Caenorhabditis elegans: one gene and its partner. The protein of the gene in region 1 interacts with the protein of each later gene in a pairwise test. Each region holds a gene or a part of one and is shown in the gene's direction. Other genes may lie near its edges.

What was found. The genes of interacting proteins can lie anywhere in the genome.
Region 2: the proteins of rme-1 (region 1) and pcyt-2.1 interact in a two-hybrid assay, tested with the Caenorhabditis elegans proteins (one large-scale study listed by BioGRID).

What each region holds. Positions count from the first base shown.
Region 1 is NC_003283.11:6,207,902-6,217,375, forward strand, and holds the start of rme-1 (Dynamin-type G domain-containing protein), read left to right. Parts: upstream 1-2,266; 5' UTR 2,267-2,374; coding exon 2,375-2,569; intron 2,570-2,785; coding exon 2,786-3,251; intron 3,252-4,020; coding exon of another isoform or gene 4,021-4,036; intron 4,037-5,814; exon of another isoform or gene 5,815-6,030; intron 6,031-6,916; exon of another isoform or gene 6,917-6,925; coding exon 6,926-7,108; intron 7,109-7,165; coding exon 7,166-7,505; intron 7,506-7,654; coding exon 7,655-8,334; intron 8,335-8,383; coding exon 8,384-8,517; intron 8,518-8,578; coding exon 8,579-8,593; intron 8,594-8,887; coding exon 8,888-9,149; intron 9,150-9,257; coding exon 9,258-9,358; 3' UTR 9,359-9,474. Other genes in the region: W06H8.2 (NADH:flavin oxidoreductase/NADH oxidase N-terminal domain-containing protein), read left to right, coding at 151-579.
Region 2 is NC_003279.8:2,076,377-2,086,001, forward strand, and holds pcyt-2.1 (ethanolamine-phosphate cytidylyltransferase), read left to right. Parts: upstream 1-2,582; 5' UTR 2,583-2,591; coding exon 2,592-2,650; intron 2,651-2,887; coding exon 2,888-2,981; intron 2,982-4,367; coding exon 4,368-4,524; intron 4,525-4,736; coding exon 4,737-4,933; intron 4,934-5,579; coding exon 5,580-5,600; intron 5,601-5,657; coding exon 5,658-5,699; intron 5,700-6,437; coding exon 6,438-6,653; intron 6,654-7,962; coding exon 7,963-8,040; intron 8,041-8,102; coding exon 8,103-8,174; intron 8,175-8,429; exon of another isoform or gene 8,430-8,651; intron 8,652-8,660; exon of another isoform or gene 8,661-8,779; intron 8,780-8,874; coding exon 8,875-9,114; 3' UTR 9,115-9,296; downstream 9,297-9,625. Other genes in the region: iglr-3 (Ig-like domain-containing protein), read right to left, coding at 9,297-9,439.

The sequences.
Region 1 (9,474 bases):
TTAGTATTTTTCTGAGAGTTTTAAATTTAACTAATTGTAAGTTTTAATTGTTTTTAATTGGACATTATAGGGGCATACATATACTCTACCCCTAAATAACTTCTTTCTCGGTTCCGTGCGGTACTAATTTTTATCATGTTTTTTTTTCAGATTCGCCCAGTTTTCAAAAACACAGTTGTCTACTTGACTGGAGGTTTCCGTACAGTTAACGCAATGGTTGAAGCTATCAAATCCGGAGCCACACAAGGAATTGGTTTGGGTAGACCGATTACTGCGGAGCCAGATCTCCCAAAGAAAATTCTGCAAAAGTTGGCCCCTTCAGCTGTCTTCGATGCAATTGATCAAAGTGAATTTGTCCTCTCACTTCTTGCGAGCAACACTCAAATTGAACAAATGGGACGGAACTCGCTGAAAGAAGCAAACAATGATGTCACTTACGGACTCAGTGACTTCAGTGATGAAGATACTGTGAAAAGATTTGGAAAAGCAGTTGAAGAATTCGCCGAACTTTTGAAAATTCAAGCATCTCGAGGTGTCGCAATTCCAAATGTGATCACATTCGAAGGAGTGAAAGCATAAATTATGCATGTTTTTAATCTGTTTTTTTCAAAATAAATTTGTAGCGAGATACATAAATGTAAATAAATTATTGTTGATTTACTTGTTTCATACATCCATCATTTTTCATAAATCTGTCGAAGTTTCAGGTTAGGATTTATTTTCTTGTGTAAGGTGGGGAAATAATCTGGAATTCTTTTAGAAGAAACTGTCAAAAAAACCGTAAACTCGAAATTATTTGATTGAATCATAGAGCCATTCTACGGGAATATTGAATGAAACACAATTGATCAATGCATTGAAAAAATCCAATATTACGTCAATAGGATTTACATAAACAGCGTACAATTGACACTATCATCTACTGAAAAAACGAAGTTAAAACCTTCAAAAGTTTCCATTCACGACTGTCATTATTGTATAAAATGTATAATTTTTTCCGTACTGTTCCACGAGCTAATCGAAATGAAATTACGTTCTATCCAGATTATGAAGGTGAGAAATGACGTAGCTGTGCAAAATTTTTGAAGCTCTAATTTTGTTTGAAAATAATTGAAAGAGTTTTGATAATAGAGTTTTTTCTGAATTTTAACACCTACGCAACTATGATTTTGTCCATAATATTGGGAAAAATGTATACGAAATATGGGAATCCGCATCGATTTTTGTTTTGTTCGTTTGTGTGCCGCTTTTCGGAAGGCAGCCACATTTATGTTCAAACATTGACCGTTTTGTCGACGGGGATATCAAAATTGTTGGATTTCTTATAGTTTGTAGCAATATTTTATTTATTTTTAACAATATTTTGGTTAATTGTTTTTGTATTAATTTTATAATGATTAAGTTTTGGATTGATTCTTCTTGGTTTATCAGAAAGAAAGAAAACATCGTATGTTTGCGCATCCACTCAATTCAATGTTCGCTCACAAATGTGCCCATTTCTGTGCATTTGAAACGAATATTTTTGAACTACATATATAATTACTCGTAGAGCTCATTAAAGTTTTCAAGTGTACCACTTTTGGATATAATTCTTTGGGTGATAAAATTCACCTCGAACATTCAACCTTGGCACAAAAAATTCCTGAATTCACCTGATTTAATTAATTCATATCATTTTTTGTGATTTTTTATTAGGCCACGTTGCACAACTTTTTATGTGTATTGCTTAAGCACAACAAAAAATTTACACATCGTTTTATAATCAACTTTTAAAAATGTTGTTTTTCAGCTTTACATTCTAATCTTTGGTCATCTAAATTAACATTTTTCATTCAATGTGAATCATAATCTCTATTGAATCTCTCTTCTCACACTTGTTACATCCTATTTCATCAGAAAATCAGCTCTTTTCAAATTGAATATTCTCCCGCTTACCTTTAAATGATCTATTAATTTTTGACTCCACTCAAAACCTATGGGATGTCAACTTTGTCGACCAACAGTAACAGACGAAGATATCGATAAAACTCTGGTTATATTCCGTAAGAAAAGCACCAATCCCTTTGAAAAAACTTCTGAGAGATTCTCTTCAACAAACCCATTCGGAGGTGAAATTGGTGAGTCATTTCCTATTTTTAATTCTATTTGTATTTCATCATGTTCTGGAATGTTTCCTCCTGTTATCATTGTTCTCCTTATGCTTTTTTTTCTTTGCAAAGTGAATTGTCGCGAAATAAAAATTGATAACAAAAAAAGTGTGCGAAACTTGTCTCCGCCTCGCTTCTCTTCTTGACAGTTTTTTGCCTCGAAACTTGGAACATTTCATCGACTTTTTACTGGATCATTTCCTATTCCTCTTACAACAAAAGTATCGATGGAGTCTGTGAATAGTGAAGAACACAAAATAAACGAGGCACCCGCGCCACCCGTCATTGTCATTAATAGCTCCACGAAAGAAGAGCAGGAGGCAACACAAACCGACAGAATAGAAGGGCAAATGAAGAAAATCGATTCGGTCTTTGATGAGCAGAATGTAGCGTCATTGGAAGGTGTCAATTCAAAAAATGAGGTGGGTATTTCGTTTTACTTTTGATTAATTTATTTTTGGTATACACAAATTTTCATAATGTTTACATTTTCTCTCCAACCCTGTCACATTTGGTTTTAATTTTGCGTTTTTGCAAAAGGTCGGCTTCCACCAAAATGAAGCAGTAGCAAGAAATTTGTACTGTGCACTTTTAGGATTTTTTTTTCACCACTTTAAATAAATTGTAACGATTTTCAGATTTCCGGATCGGTATCAAGTTCCAGTTTTGAGGAGCTGAACGCAGAGACTGAAGATTTATCAGAAAGAAGTGAAGTCGAAAAAGACGAAGATCTAGGGAGAGTTGTTGAAGAACATAAAGAACCGGCACAAGTTCCAGTAGAATCGGAAACTCCGGAAACTTCTAAAAAAGAAATCCACCAAGAAGAAGAAATCTCTGAACTTGAGAAAGTTCCTGAAACAGTTGAAGAAGAAATTGAAGTCGTCAATACTTCCGTAGAAATTACTGAAGTAAAGAAGGAAGTGATCGAAGAAGTTAAGATCTCAGGCCTCAAAGAAGAAGAAACTCCGGTTCCAAAAATGAGAGCTCAGCAGCAAGTTCCAGTTGCTGCTGACAGGCCAATCAGGCGGCTTTCGATTGCAAGGGCATCTATGATGACCCCAAAAGCATCACCTAAACTTGCAAAGTATATGGAGCCGGTTAGAGGTAGATTTGTAGATTTTTGTTCATATAATGTTTTATGCGTCTACTTTTCTGCACTTTTTTAAACAACTAGTTGGAGTAATGTGGCTATCAAATTTAGTATTTTTCCTGCCAAATCCCAATGTCGATCTGCGATCGCAGTTCGAAAGTTTAAAACAACCTTTCCCTATTAGTATTGCACCCCACTATTTGACTTTGACAGATTATATAGGCAGAGGTTTTTTTCTGAATCTGAAGATGACAGTGCATATCAAAAAACCATTGCATCACTTTTCTTTGTTTTCATTCTGGAAAACGAAAGAACGCTTTTCAAAAGCATTTCCCAATGCCATTCCTTTTCTATTTGGAGTTTCTATCCTGCAGACACTTGCTATTCTTCCCACACAGTTCGATTTTCCATTGATTGAAAAAATTCCTGACAAATGGAACTTCAAACCTTTTTGCTTAAAGAGCTGCACTTTGCATTATTCTTTATCATTGTGAGCATCATTCGTTGACAGGTCACACTGATAAACATTTGGTCAGTGCCAATCAACGCATTTTCATACTCTCGCTATACAACTTTTCTTTCACATCCTCCCAGTACTGGAACACCATGTGCTCTGCTAACTTGTAAATAATTGTGTGCAAACTGTTTTATGTTTGCTCCGTTGAGAGGCAAAAGAGACAAGACCGCCCGTCATAGCGCGAGAACAAAACTTTTATAAGTATTACAAGAATTTTGACGTGACCAACTGATCGGTATCTGTTCTATTTTTTCGGGCATTTCGAAATGAGTAATCTTTTTGGTAAGTATGAACAGAAAATGATCATTTTTAGAAACTCTAACACCTAAATGGATAGCGTCCGAGTTTTTTGGAAAAGTTATAAAATTGATGATCAAGGTAAGGTTTTTAGGTTGTGAAACGGCAGACTTTTCAATCGCGTTATATTTTGATAATCTAGTTATGGCTTTCAAATCCAGAAGTTTCTGATAAAAGAACGAGAAAATCAAAAATTATTTTTAGCTCTACCTTCAAGTTTATATTTTTTGTATTTGACATTATATGATTTTCAATTTCACCTCAATTTCACGAGATATTAATCAAACGCTTGAAAGCTTGAATTTCTTGAAAATTTTCTTGTAAATCATCTCATATTCTCGTTCAAAAGGCAAACGAAACATGGTTTCCAGGTTCTATATGGTGTATTTTTTTCAAACATTTCAAGCTTTCTAGCTCCAACGTTCTATTTATATTTTGAAATTTTGATAAATTCTCCATTTTTTGAAAAATTCACACGGTCTAACGAGCTAATCATCATGCCGCAATCATCGCATCTTTCTTTTTCTTTTCTTCTTTTTTCTCTTCTTTTCGTTTCTTCCATCCCCCTACTCGAACAATTCAATGAAATAACAAATCGGTTACTTTATTTTGATTCAATTCTTTCCTCCTTCTACCAAATCGTCTCAAACATCGTCCGCTTGCGGTTGTCTCATTTTTCTTGATGCATGACCCCTGTGGAATCGATAGTGCACAAGCAGTTGCTAGAGTTCAGTGCTCCGTTGAAAGAGAAAGCGAGAGCATTCACGTTATATAAACTCAAACTAAACTTTTCTCTTCCGGCCTGCTTTCAATTTTATTTCTTCCAAAGAATTTTTGAGTTGGGTCTCTTGATTGATAGTGGTTTAGTTTTTGATTTTGACTACTGTATACCTATAGGTAATGCATTTGAAGTTTGTTATTTCCGGGTGATTTTCTTTAAAGTTTTTGACTTATTGTTAGATAGTTTTTCGGAATTTCAGTTACGATTCACACTCCAAACATGAAAAGTTGAATTAGTTCAACACAACTTTTACCTTTTCAATTTTCTATCTAGTGGAACAGGACACCGATTATACAGAAAATATTGTAGTTAGAGCAATTGAATTGTTATTGTGTTGAAATTGTATTATGTTATTTCTCAAGCAACCTCGTGATTTTACAACAAAATATTTTTATGTCGATTTCTAGTTGGAACGCAGAATACTACTATACGTCATTCTATTGATTGCATATTTTAATTATATTTAGTTACTAATTTCAATTTAATTTGACTAAATCTAACACAATTTGTCCTACTTATTCATCAGTTCCATGAAATTCCAAGCAAATATTGTGGTTTCATATTTACACTGCGACCATTTGATATATGCGCTGGTTTTCCAACAAAAACCATTCACAGCAAGCAATTCCGACAATGCTTTTTTTGTGTGTGTTCTCTTTTTTTCCCCATAAGATCTTTGCAGTTCGGCCGGTGGGTGATGGTGGTCAGTTCGCGTATTATTTTGACTTTTTCGTCTGCGGTCTACTTGGTCCTTAGACTCTCTTGTCTGGCTTTTGCGCAGTCTGTCGGTCGATCTATTTTCTCGATTCGACTACCTGATCCATTTCTAATTTTTCCTCTTTTTCTGTGATTCTTGATTTTTACGCTCTCTCGGCAATTTGTCATGTATAGAACGTCAACTATTGATGTGACCAGATGATTGTACTGTGTTCCCGATTTCATATAATTCATGAGCCTTTTAAGATGAATAAAACATTCCTCAAAGAATATGACTTCAGTCTCAAGCTTCTGATACTACATTGACCAGTTCCTAATGATCTTTAGCATTCTAATCACTCAATTAACATAAATTTTCTCAACCCATCTAATTTCAAAACCAATTGACGGTCTCTAATTGATGTTCTAAATGTTCTAATTTTCTATTGATATTTCCTGTTTGTTTTACGATCCTCCTCCCAGTTAGTGCATCATCATCAATAGGCCGCCACGTCATCTCTGCCCTCTCTGTGTCCATTCGCCTACATCTCTGTTCACACAGTGAATGAACACACTAGTCGTCTGTCAGTATCTGCGTCTCTTACCACATTTCGTGAAAGTCCCACTCTCTCACACCGCCTGATTGTTGGCTGGCGGCTATGATGACTCACTTGGTTTCAGTTCAACACGAGAATAGAGCCCCTATTTCGCAATTTCGATTTCTTTGGGTCTCACTGGGGGATTCTGAATTTAGTCATTCTATAAATTGGCCGGAAAATCTAGAAGAATTTTCAGTTTTTTCGAACTTAGGATGACGAAACTTGTATCACTTCAAGCTCGGTATTTTTCTGTAGATAACTTCTTTTTTTTTTCAGTGTTACATCAATTTAAAATTCAGAATTTATTAGGTTTTCTAACCAAAATATTGAGAATCTTCGTTTTTTTTTTGTTAAAGTAATGTCGTTTACTGTGTTTTTTTTTTTAGTTTTTCAATTCCAGCTGTACATATTTATTCACCACCACCACGGAAATCGAATTTCTGTTGAAAATTTACGTCAGATCTCGATTCATTTTATTTTTCTCAAACAAAAACTATTTTTAATATTAAAAATAACTTTTTATAACAAAAAACGAAAAATGGATGAGAGTAAGTCTAGGCCTGCAACTTTACTTTCTACAGTAACCTTAAGACGCATATACGAAACACATTTTGTTACTCGCTTGTTTTTGTTTTCCTCCCGCGAAATTTCCTTAATTTCTTGAAATATCTCACATGTTCCGTTCAATTTTCCGCCAATTCTCACCTCCTCAACATCTTGGTAAATTTTAAATAAATAAATTTAACATTAGTTTTAATCAAAATCTCATGATTTATTCTTAATTTTATCAGTTTTCAGAAGAAGGACAAAAGAAAAAGAAGACGAGAAGTATGTTTTCGTGGCTTGGTGGTGATTCGTCAAAAAAGAAGAACAAGGAAGTTTTGGAGACGGTTTCCGAAGGTCTCCGCAAGATTTACAAGCAGAAACTCCTGCCTCTTGAAGAATTCCACAAGTTTCACGACTTTCACAGCCCAGCTCTCGGTAATTTGAAATTATTTAGCATATTTATATTTTCAAAATAACGTTCCTTCTTTTCAGATGATCCGGATTTCGATGCCAAACCAATGATCCTGCTCGTCGGGCAATATTCGACCGGAAAAACGACTTTCATCCGTTACCTCCTCGAGTCCGATTTCCCAGGAATCCGAATCGGTCCAGAGCCAACCACCGACAGATTCATTGCTGTGATGCATGGTGATGAAGAAGGAAGCATTCCTGGAAATGCTCTTGTTGTTGACGCAAAGAAGCAGTTCCGTGCTCTGTCAGGATTCGGAAACGCATTTTTGAATCGATTCCAGTGCTCGACTCTTCCAAATCAAGTTCTCGAAAGTGTAACGATCGTTGATACACCTGGAATCTTATCCGGAGAAAAGCAAAGGTTTGTTTTAATTTTTAAATAATCGGAACACTACTTTCAAGGAGTTGTCCCCATTTGATGAAGCTCCAATAACTTATTTGTTTACAAAAACGAATGCTTGTTGGATCGAATTTCCACGATGCAAAAATAAAAATACTTTTTTATTCCAGAATCGATCGCGGATATGATTTCACTGGAGTTTTAGAGTGGTTCGCTGAACGTGTCGATCGTATCATTCTTCTTTTCGATGCTCACAAGCTTGACATTTCCGATGAGTTCAAGAGATGTATTGAAGCATTGGCTGGAAACGAGGATAAAATACGAATTGTTCTCAACAAGTCAGACATGGTTGATCATCAACAGTTGATGAGAGTCTACGGAGCTCTGATGTGGTCACTGGGAAAAGTATTCAAAACTCCAGAAGTTTCACGTGTCTATTTGGGATCATTCTGGGATCATCCACTTCACTACGATCTCAATCGTCGACTTTTCCAAGACGAGCAGCACGACCTGTTCCAAGATCTTCAAGCATTGCCACGTAACGCTGCTCTCCGAAAGTTGAACGATCTGATCAAGAGAGCTCGTCTCGCCAAGGTTCACGCATACATTATTGCTGAGCTTCGTAAGCAAATGCCATCGATGATCGGAAAGGATAAGAAGAAGAAGGATTTGATCCAAAATCTTGACAAGATCTACGAGCAACTCCAGAGAGAACACAATATATCTCCAGGAGACTTCCCAGATGTGAACAAGATGAGAGAGAAGCTTCAAACACAGGACTTTAGCAAATTCAATCCACTCAAGCCAAAGCTTTTGGAGGTTGTCGATGGAATGCTTGCCACTGATATAGGTTTGTATCAGGATAGGCTTATGAATAATTATCTTTGTATTATTTTCAGCACGATTGATGGCTCAAATTCCAAAGGAAGAAGCCGCAGCCCCAGCAGGATCAAACGGAAGCGCCGATCCAACTGTCAGAGGAGGAGCCTTCAGCCAAACAACAGAAGCAGAAACTCCGTTCGGTTTCGGACGTGTAAGTATTAGATTTCCTGCATACTGTCCATACAGTATTGTCTCAAATATAATTATTTTAGTATGATGCACGCTGGGTGAGCTGATTTAGTTTTTGGTGGCGGATAGGTTTTAAATGGAATAGAGTGGCATGAGTTGGAGGAGTGACTCTATGCTTTCTGTTCTAGAACTGTACCCTTTGGAGCTTGTGGATTTGATTAATTATTAATCAAAATTGTGTTCGACTAATTGAGCACTATTGTTGATGAAATGTGTGTAAAATCGTCCCACCTCACTTCTCGCTTATTATCCCATTTCTTTTTTACCTTACACACAATCCCTTTCCTTTTTCCACAACGAAACACGATCACCTAATTTTTTTTAATTTTCAGGGAGAAGGATTCGACAAGGGAGCCGACGAAGCCGAATGGGTTGTTAGTCGGGAACGCACAACTGCCGACTCGACATTCGAAAGTCTCGGACCAGTTAACGGATATCTCAGCGGAAGAGCTGCCAAGGAGCACATGGTTAAGAGCAAATTACCAAACTCAGTGCTCGGAAAAGTATGGAAATTGGCTGATATTGACAAGGATGGACAGTTGGATGCTGACGAGTTTGCACTTGCCAACTATTTGATCAATTTGAAATTGGAAGGTAAGCCTTTTAAGTTTAATTTCAGCAAAATTTGAACTGGAAGATTTTCAAATAAATATTTTTAAATTGATCTTACAAATATTACAATAATAAGATCATTTTTTTCAGGACACGAGATTCCAAGTGAGCTGCCAAAACATCTCATCCCACCATCAAAACGTGGAGAGCAAGATCCAGTCTACCCATCGCTCAACGACAACGATGAATGAAAACATTTCACTTATTAGTTTTCAATGAATACCGAAACCAAAAAAATTCAATTGTTTTACCGAAAATGTCCTATCTAGTTAATATGAATCAAGCAAACGTGTTTTGTGATACGACC
Region 2 (9,625 bases), on another chromosome or scaffold:
CAAAGTTTCGGAAAAAATACCCCTTTTCAGCTAAAATCGAAATTTTGCCAACTTCTCGGTGTCTCAGTGTTTCGAACTTAATTTTTATTTAATTATCACTTTTTAAACAATATTTTGGTCTTTTATTAGACGTTGATTAGTTGATTTTTCGATCATTGGGGCACAAAAATGTAACTTTTATTTGTCCCCCACTGGTCGAAAATGTGCTTACATTAACGAATAAATGTCTAATAAAAGACCAAAATATTGTTTAAAAAGTGATAATTAAATAAAACTTAAGTTCCAGACTCTACGACACCGAGAAGTTGGCAAAAATTTCGATTTTAGCTGAAAATGGGCTATTTTTCCCAGAACTTTGAACCGCCATAACCTTTTTTTGAGAAATTTTCAAAACGCCTCATTAGGTAGTTTTCGGTAGTATTTTGGGTCTAAAAATGCAAAATCTCAGGTTTCGATACTCCACCTTTGACCTTCTATTTATTGTCTCCCATCCCCCGTTTTTTTTCCATTTTTGTGGGCTCCCAATTCGTTATGAACAGTGAGCTGGTTTTTCATCGCAGGCTTCTTTTTCCAGCAGTTACGAAGCAGACGTTCTGTGTTCAATACTTGACCATTCTCCCCCCGCCAGAAATGATCGATAAGAGGTGGTCCTCGGAGACCCGCGCGCGTGCGCATAGGTCACCTGATCACGTGGTGAAGGGCAACTGCCATTGTTTCAACGCCGGAATATTTTTTGAACCTTTATTGATTATCTCAAGTTTCTTATCAAATTTTCGAAAATTTGCCTTTCTTTTGTGTAAGGGGAAAATGGAAAAATTACGATTTTTGTTTCCATCGGAAACAAACAAAATGTGTTTTGTGGTGTGACCAAACGTCATTTTGTGTTGTTTTCTTGAAGTTTCTAGACGCGAAAAATAGAAAAATAATTAAAACTTTCTATAAAATTACCAACTTTCAGATTTCGGAAGGATTTTATTAAAAAAATTGGCAACATTTTTGATTTTCAATGAAATTTTTTTAAGGTGGAGTGCGCCCAGTGGGAAAATTGCTTCACAATGGCCGAATATCATGATTAAAAAATTCAAAAAAAATTTCTAAATTTTATATGATTTTTTGAAAATTGAAAAATCTCAGTTTTCCCCTAATTTCTATTTGAATTACCGCCAATTGGGTTCGTTCGATGGAGCGCGCTTGCACTATTTATTTTATTTTTCTCATTATTTCACTGATTTTCTTCATTATTTGTGTATTTTTATCGGAAAAAGAGAGAAAAATGCAAGGTAAATGCTTATAAGATTTATTAAAAAGTAACTGAAAATGAGTAAAACTGTGGAATATGCTATTTTCAGGATTTTTGGCGTCGAAACACAGTTTTACCCATTTTCAGTAATTTTTTAATGACCAATTTGCATTTTTCTCTATTTTTCCGATTAAAAACCCCCAAAAAACGAATAAAATCAGTGAAATAATGAGAAAAATAAAATAAATAAATAAAAATAATGCAAGTGCGCTCCATCGAACAATTTCAATTGGCGGTAATTCAAATAGGAATTAGGCAAAAACTGAGATTTTTCAATTTTCAAAAAAAAATCATATAAAATCTAGAAAATTTTTTGAATTTTTTTATCGTGATATTCGGTCATTGTGACCCTATGGGCATGTTTTAAAGCAATTTCCCCACTAGGCTTACTGAGTAGAAAAATCCCGGAAGTGCAATTTTTGAATTTTTTGTGAGAAACTCCTCCACAATTCGTCATTGAAAATGAAAAAACTCGACTAAATATTTTTTCCATGACAGGCGGTCTGCTCCGGGTTCGACGTCCTTTTCGAACTGATAACGTCACAATTTTTTTCTTTTTTTTTCCGCATTTTTTCATTCCGATTGCTATTTAATCGGGTGATGTCGGGGTCACTCTTCAATGTCCGTTGACTACATTGTTTTAATTTATTTTTAATTGACTCCAAATTTTCCCCTGATTTCGAATATCTATGTGAAAAAATTCAAAAAAATTTCCCTGATTTTATATTTAAGCTTGAAATCGCTTGTACTAGCATCACTTTTTTTCAAATTCGCGCCCAAAGAAATTCGCATTGGAGCGCGCTTTGATTTTCTTCATTTAAATATTTTATTTATTTTTCGCCGAATGCAGTTTTTTGAAAACCAGTTTCATTCATTTTTGTCGAGCTTTTATCGATTTTTTTCGACAAAAATGAATAAAACTGGTTTAAACTGAATTCGGCGGAAAATAAATAAAATATTTAAATGAAGAAAATCAAAGCGCGCTCCAATGCGAATTTGTTTGGGCGCGAATTTTAAAAAAAGTGATGCGGGGGACAAATGAAATTCTACGATTTCAAGCTAAAATATAATATCAGGGAATTTTTTTTGAATTTTTTCACATAGATATTCGGAATTAGGGGAAAATTTGGAGTAATATAAAAAATATTTCACAGATTTCGGTACTCAACCTTTAAAATTTTAAGTGAGAAAATATTATTAACGTGATTTTAAATTTTTTTTTCTTCTGCAACAATTTGAACTTTGATCTTAAATTAAAAAAAAAAATTATTTTTAAAATTTCAGTTCAAAAATGAGCGGATTAGCACCAGATGGACTGCCCAAAGGAAATCGAGTTTGGGCTGATGGATGGTTGGTTTTTGGCTGGAATCGACACGTGGTGTCAAAGTGTCTCTTTTCGGTTTGATCTACAAAAAATGTGGGATTTTTTTTCCAAAAAAATGTGACGTCAGCACGTTCTTAACCAATTTTTGTTGAAAAGTCTGCGTCTCTTTTCCCGCATTTTTTGTAGATCTCTACGTAGATCACGCCGAAATGAGACACTTTGACACCATGTGAATTGAGCCTTAAAATGAATTAATTTTCCAGTTATGACATGGTGCATTTCGGCCATGCAAATCAATTACGGCAGGCTAAGCAGTTTGGACAGAAGTTAATTGTTGGAGTACATAATGATGAAGAGGTTTTCAATATTTTTTTCTCCCTAAAAAGAAGATGGGAATATGCAAATTTTTGTTAAAATATTAGCAGTTTTTAAGTCGTAACTCGTAAATTGCGAAATTTTTCCCTATAACACACTTGATCTACGCTGATCTACAAAAAATGCGGCAGAGTTCTTAACTCATTTCGTATGGTTAAGAACGTGCTGACGTCACATTTTAATGGGAGAAAAATTCCCGCATTTTTTGTAGATCAAACCGTAATGGGACAGGGACCCCTGGCACCACGTGGCTATAAATTATTTTAAAAATCAACTTCTGTGAATTATTTAAATTAATTTTCACTTTAAATTACGATAGTTCAGGTAAAAAATATTGTTTAAATAATTCAATTATTCAATTTTCCTTATTAAAAGCCACGAATTAAAAAGAAATTTCGTGACTTGACAAAAATTTTAAAGGAACACGCGTGTGTGACCCTTTAAGGAGTACTGTACTTTTAGCTATTTTGCAGTTTTTTTTCATTTTTTTCGAGATCGCGTCGAGACCCGAAATAGTTGGCATCTGGTAAATATTCTGATTGAATGGATATTTTCGTTATAATTTGGGGTTGCATGGAAAAAAAAAGAATATTTTACAATATTTTTCACTAAATATATCGTAAGTTAGGGTATATTGTGGTAATCATTAAAAATTTTTAAATTTCAGATCGAAATTTAGCAAAAAAAAAACATTTTTAGTGACTAAAAAAACATATTCGTTTCTAATTTCCAATTGAAATAGAAAAAAAAACGTTAAGTAATATTTTTTTTTATTGCAATTTTTTCCGACCTTTAAAGGTGGAGTACCGAAATCTGGGAAATATTTTTAATTGACCCCAAATTTTCCCCTAATTCCGAATATCGATGTGAAAAAAATTAAAATTCAAAAAAAATTCCCACGATTTTATATTTAAGCTTGAAATCGCCGAATTTCATTTGTTTTTCCCGAATCACTTTTTTCAAATGCGCGCCCAAAGAAATTCGCATTGGAGCGCGCTTTGATTTTCTTAATTTAAATAAATATTTTATTTATTTTTCGCCGAATTCAGTTTTTTAAAACCAGTTTCATTAATTTTTGTCGAAAAAACCGATAAAAACTCGACAAAAATGAATAAAACTGGTTTTTAATAAAACTGAATTCGGCGAAAAATAAATGAAATATTTAAATGAAGAAAATCAAAGCGCGCTCCAATGCGAAGTTCTTTGGGCGCGAATTTAAAAAGTGATTCGGGGGCACAAATGAAATTCGGCGATTTCAAGCTTAAATATAAAATCACGGAATTTTTTTTTTGAATTTTTGGAATTTTTTCACATCGATATTCGGAATCAGGGGAAAATTTGTAGTTTAACTCAAAAAAAAAATTCCAGATTCGACTACATAAAGGACCTCCAGTATTCAATGAACAAGAGCGATATCGAATGGTTGCCGGCATTAAATGGGTCGATGAAGTTGTGGAAAATGCGCCATACGCCACAACAGTCGAAACTCTGGACAAGTATGATTGTGATTTTTGTGTTCACGGAGGTAAAAATATTAATTAAAGTCCAATCACGGTTTGATCTACAAAAAAATCCGGGAATTTTTCGCCCAAAAGCAATGTGACGTCAGCACACGCTCTTAACCATGCGAAATCAGTTGAAAACTCTGCCGCATTTTTTGTAGATCAACCAGAAGATCAAGCCGAAATGAGACACTCTGACAGCACCACGTGTAAAAAAAGTAGATCAATTTTCCAGACGACATAACTCTAACCGCCGACGGAAAAGACACGTATCAAGAGGTGAAGGATCACCAACGATACAGAGAATGTAAGCGAACGTGTGGTGTCTCTACAACTGATTTAGTTGGCCGAATGCTTCTGCTCACCAAGAACCATCACACACAGGATGAGCACATCGAGCAACACGTCGAACGAGCTCGTTCGCTGAGCACGGTAAGTCGGAATTATTGGAAGACTTGTGCCACTGGCTGGGGGGAAATTGCTTTAAAACATGGTTTAAAAAATTCGAAAAAAAATTTTCTAAATTTATTGGATTTTTTGAAAATTGGAAAAATCTCAGTTTTCACATGATTTCTATTTATTTGAATTTCCGCCAAAATTATGTGTTCGATGGAGCGCGCTTGCATTGTTTTTACTAATATATTTCATTTTTTCTCAGTATTTCACTGATTTTCTTGTATTTTCATCGGAAAAAAAAGAGAAAAATGAAAGATGAATGCAAGTTGTTCATTAAAAAAAAGTTATTGAAAATGGGTTTTACCACAGTGTTTCCCATTTTCAATAATTTTTTAATAAACAATTTGCATTTATCTTTCATTTTTTTCTCACTTTTTCCGATAAAAATACAAGAAAATCAGTGAAATAATGAGAAAAAATGAAATAAATTAATAAAAATAATGCAAGTGCGCTCCATCGAACACATCATTTCGGCGGAAATTCAAATAGGAATTAGGGGGAAAACTGAGATTTTTTCAATTTTCAAATTTTTTTGAATTTTTTAAAATCATGTTTTAAAGCAATTTCCCAACTGGCGCTACTACGATTTTCAATTAATTTTTAAAAATTTTTAAAATTTTAGGCTATTCTGGAGTACAGCAAGGTAAGCGTAGCCGGCTGCTTGTCGTTTTTTCCAGTTTTGCAAAGCTTAATTTTTCAGCGTATGCAGTCTAAAAAACGGCGTCTGAATAGGCTTATAGCGGTAATGGACCAAATTTTGAATTTTAGTGGGCCGCACGGATTTCTGGCTTCCCTCATAAATTGAAATGGAAGAGTTTTTGCCGAACTAGGCCATGTGGATTTACGGCGCGTTGCGTGTCGCGTCGCGGTTCGATTTTAGTTGTAAAACTAAATGTATTTGTCCGTGTGGAGTACACCACTTTCCCAAGGCGATTGTCAATGGAGCGCGAAAAATTCAATGAGGAAGCCCGGAACCCTATGGGGCTTAAAATATTATTTTTTTTTCAGAACAAGCTTAGAATCTACTTTTTCTATTACGTGTTTATCCAGAGATGAGAAAAATGGCCATATCTGCCGCGCAAATGAATCTGCGGGAAGAGACAAAACTACTGTAGTTTTTAACCAATTTGTGTAGATTTACGAGCTATTGCGTCATCGTTGAATTTAATTTTGAGCCGCAATTTTTAATTTTCAGGCGTTTTTCTAAATTTTTTTGTGTGTTTTCTTTTAAGATTTTTCAATAAATAGATAAATTTCAATATAAAAACGTGTGAAACGCCTGAAAATTAAAAATTGCGGCTCAAAATTAAATTCAACGATGACGCAATAGCTCATAAATCTACACAAATTGGTTGAAAACTACAGTAGTTTTGTCTCTTCCCGCGGGTTCATTTGCGCGTCAGATATGGCGATTTTTCTCATCTCTGGATAAACACGTAATAAGTACAATTTAGTGTAAATTTTCTAAATTTCTTTTCAGGACAACGTTGCAATGTCCCCCTGGACACGTGTCTCGCGCTTCATCCCAACAACGACAACGATTCTCGAGTTTGCCGAAGGAAGACCGCCAAAACCGACGGACAAGGTTGTCTACGTGACCGGATCGTTTGATTTGTTCCATATTGGACATCTGGCGTTCCTGGAAAAAGCCAAAGAGTTTGGAGATTACCTGATTGTGGGAATTTTATCGGATCAGGTAGAGCGTTTTTGTTTAGAAAATTTCTGGGAAATAATTTTAATTGACTCCCCAATTTTCCCCTGATTCCGGAAAAAATTCAAAAAAAATCCCTGATTCAATCCCTTTAAGCTTGAAATTGCCGAATTTCATTTGTGCGCGCTAAAAAAATTCGCATTGGAGCGCGCTTGCATCGTTTGATTTTTTTTTTCGCCGAATTCAATTTTTTAAAACCAGTTTCATTCATTTTTGTCTAAATTTTATCTGTTTTTTTCGACAAAAATTAATGAAGCTGGTTTTAGAAAACTGAATTCGGCGAAAATAAATAAAAATTTAAATGAAGAAAATCAAACGATGCAAGCGTGCTCCAATGCGAATTTGTTCTTTTTTTGAAACAAAAAGTTTGATTTTAAAATTTAAATAAAAAAATGTGATCTACCCAAATTTTAAAAGTTTCTTTTTGTGATTTCCATGAGAAAAGGCGTTAAAAATATCAATTTTTCGTGAAAAGGGTTAATTGATGTGCCATCCTCTCAAAAACTTCACAAAAATTCAAATTCTTCAATTTTTTATTTTTTATCTCAGCCATCAAATTTGCGATGGAGCGCATTTGCAAGGTGCTTTTTTTTATTTAAAAATTTCTATGCCGAAAAATGAAGTTAAAATAGCGATTAACCCGTTTTCACCTCAAAAATGCATTTGTGATCTACCACACCTGGCGGTAATTTCGTAAATTTCTCTGTAAATTTCTTTTAAAAGTGGAGTAGCGAAATATGTGGAAATATTTTTAATTTACTCCAAATTTTCCCCTGATTCCGGAAAAAATTCGAAAAAAATTTCCCTGATTTTATATTTAAGCTTGAAATCGGCGAATTTCATTTGTGCCCCCGCATCACTTTTTTGAAATTCGCGCCCAAAAAATTCGCATTGGAGCGCACTTGCATCGTTTGATTTTCGCCGAATTCAATTTTTTAAACCTGCTTCAATAATTTTTGTCGAAAAAACCGATAAAAAATCGACAAAAATTAATGAAACTGGTTAAAAAACTTGAATTCGGCGAAAATAAATGAAGAAAATGAAAAAAAAAAACGGTACAAGCGCGCTCCAATGCGAGTTTCTTTGGGCGCGCATTCAAAAAAGTGATGCGGGGGCACAAATGAAATTTGGCGATTTCAAGCTTAAATATAAAATCAGGGGAAATTTTTTTGATTAGATATTCGGAATCAGGGGAAAATTTGGAGTCGATTAAAAATATTTCCCAACTTTCGGCATTTTTACATTAAAAAAATGAGAAATCTACCACAATCGAATAAAACTATCAATTTCACAGACTGTCAATCAATACAAGGGAAGCAATCACCCCATAATGTCGATTCACGAGCGTGTACTATCCGTTCTGGCCTATAAGGTTTGTAGTTTGAACTTTTCGAAATAAATTGAAAAAATTGAAAATTAAAAAATTTTTTTCAGCCAGTGAATGAAGTTGTGTTCGGTGCTCCATATGAGATTACTTCTGACATTTTGGATCAGTTTAATGTTCAGGTAAATGCTGTAAATGTTCGAGAAATTTGAATTTGAATTTAAATAAACAAAAAATTCAAATTCAAATTCATGTTTTAATAAATAAATTAATTCTCCATACATGATAATCCAATTTTTTCATCCAAAATTAATGTAGAAATGAAGAAAAAAGCTTGTTCTATCTGAAAATTATATTTATTTCTGTTGAAAAGCTTGAAACAGGCCTTTGAGGCGTTTTTGAAGCATTTCCACAGAAATAAATAGTATTTTCAGATAGAACAAGCCTTTTTCTACTTGCCTACATTAATTTTGGATGAAAAATTGGATTATCATGTAGGAAATAAGACGTTTTGTGCGTTTACAGTCCGTGTTGAAAAGTTATCAAACGCGCGCGCGCGAGAGAGTGTGCGAAACGAGGAGAGTCGCACGCAATAGATAGAGGCACGCGAAACCCGCGAGGTGTCGGCCGGCGCGTAAAAGTACCCAACAGTGCCGACCAGCGCTCCTCAAGCCTCCTGGCGCTGCTATTAGCCGGGATTCATAGGCTGGCGATGATTGAGATTGTTCCCACACGCAATTTCTCCTGATCCACATGAAGGCTAAACTTCCTTGGACGTCTGAGCCGCCTTTAATAATGATTATTAATGATTAATTTTGAGAATTAAGGGAAATTATTGGATTTTCCATTTTCTCCTGGAAATATCAAGGTTTAAACTTTCAGGCAGTTATCAACGGATTCCGTGACAACAACTCCTCAGTCGTCAACTCATCGCTTGCATCGATCGACCCGTTCGCAGAAGCCAAACGTCGTGGAATCTACCATGAAGTGGACTCGGGAAGTGATATGACCACCGATTTGATTATCGATCGAATCATCCATCACCGTCTCGAGTATGAGACACGAAATAAGAAGAAGGAGAAGAAAGAAGCTGATGTGGCAAAAGCCATGAACTTGATTTAAATATTTCTTTATTTTTTTAAGCATTTAATGCCTATTAATGCCTATTAATCAATGCTTTTCAATTCAATTCTAGTCGACCTAATATTTCCATTTTTTTTCTCTCCCACTTGCCACTTACACTTTAATTCCTTTATTTAAATATATCATCAGTTTTTCTTTTATTGTACATAAATTATATAATATCACAAATGGGTTAGCTCAAACGAAACACAGCTCGGCTCGTCGAATCGGGCCAGCGGAGCACGAGGTATCGACCGATTTGAAGATCCCGATTCGTTAGAAAGGCGGCAGAGGCTTTCGTGACGGATTTTTGGGAGCATTGGGCCTGGAAAAAGGTTTTTGGATTTTAAAAAATTTGACGAAACTCTTTTTGGTGGCAAATTTAAAACAACAGTCGAGATATTACGGGAGCACTAAACTCTGAGAATGCGTATTACACAACATATTTGACGCGCAAAAAATACAAATATCTCGTAGCGAAAACTACAGTAATTCTTTAAATGACTACTGT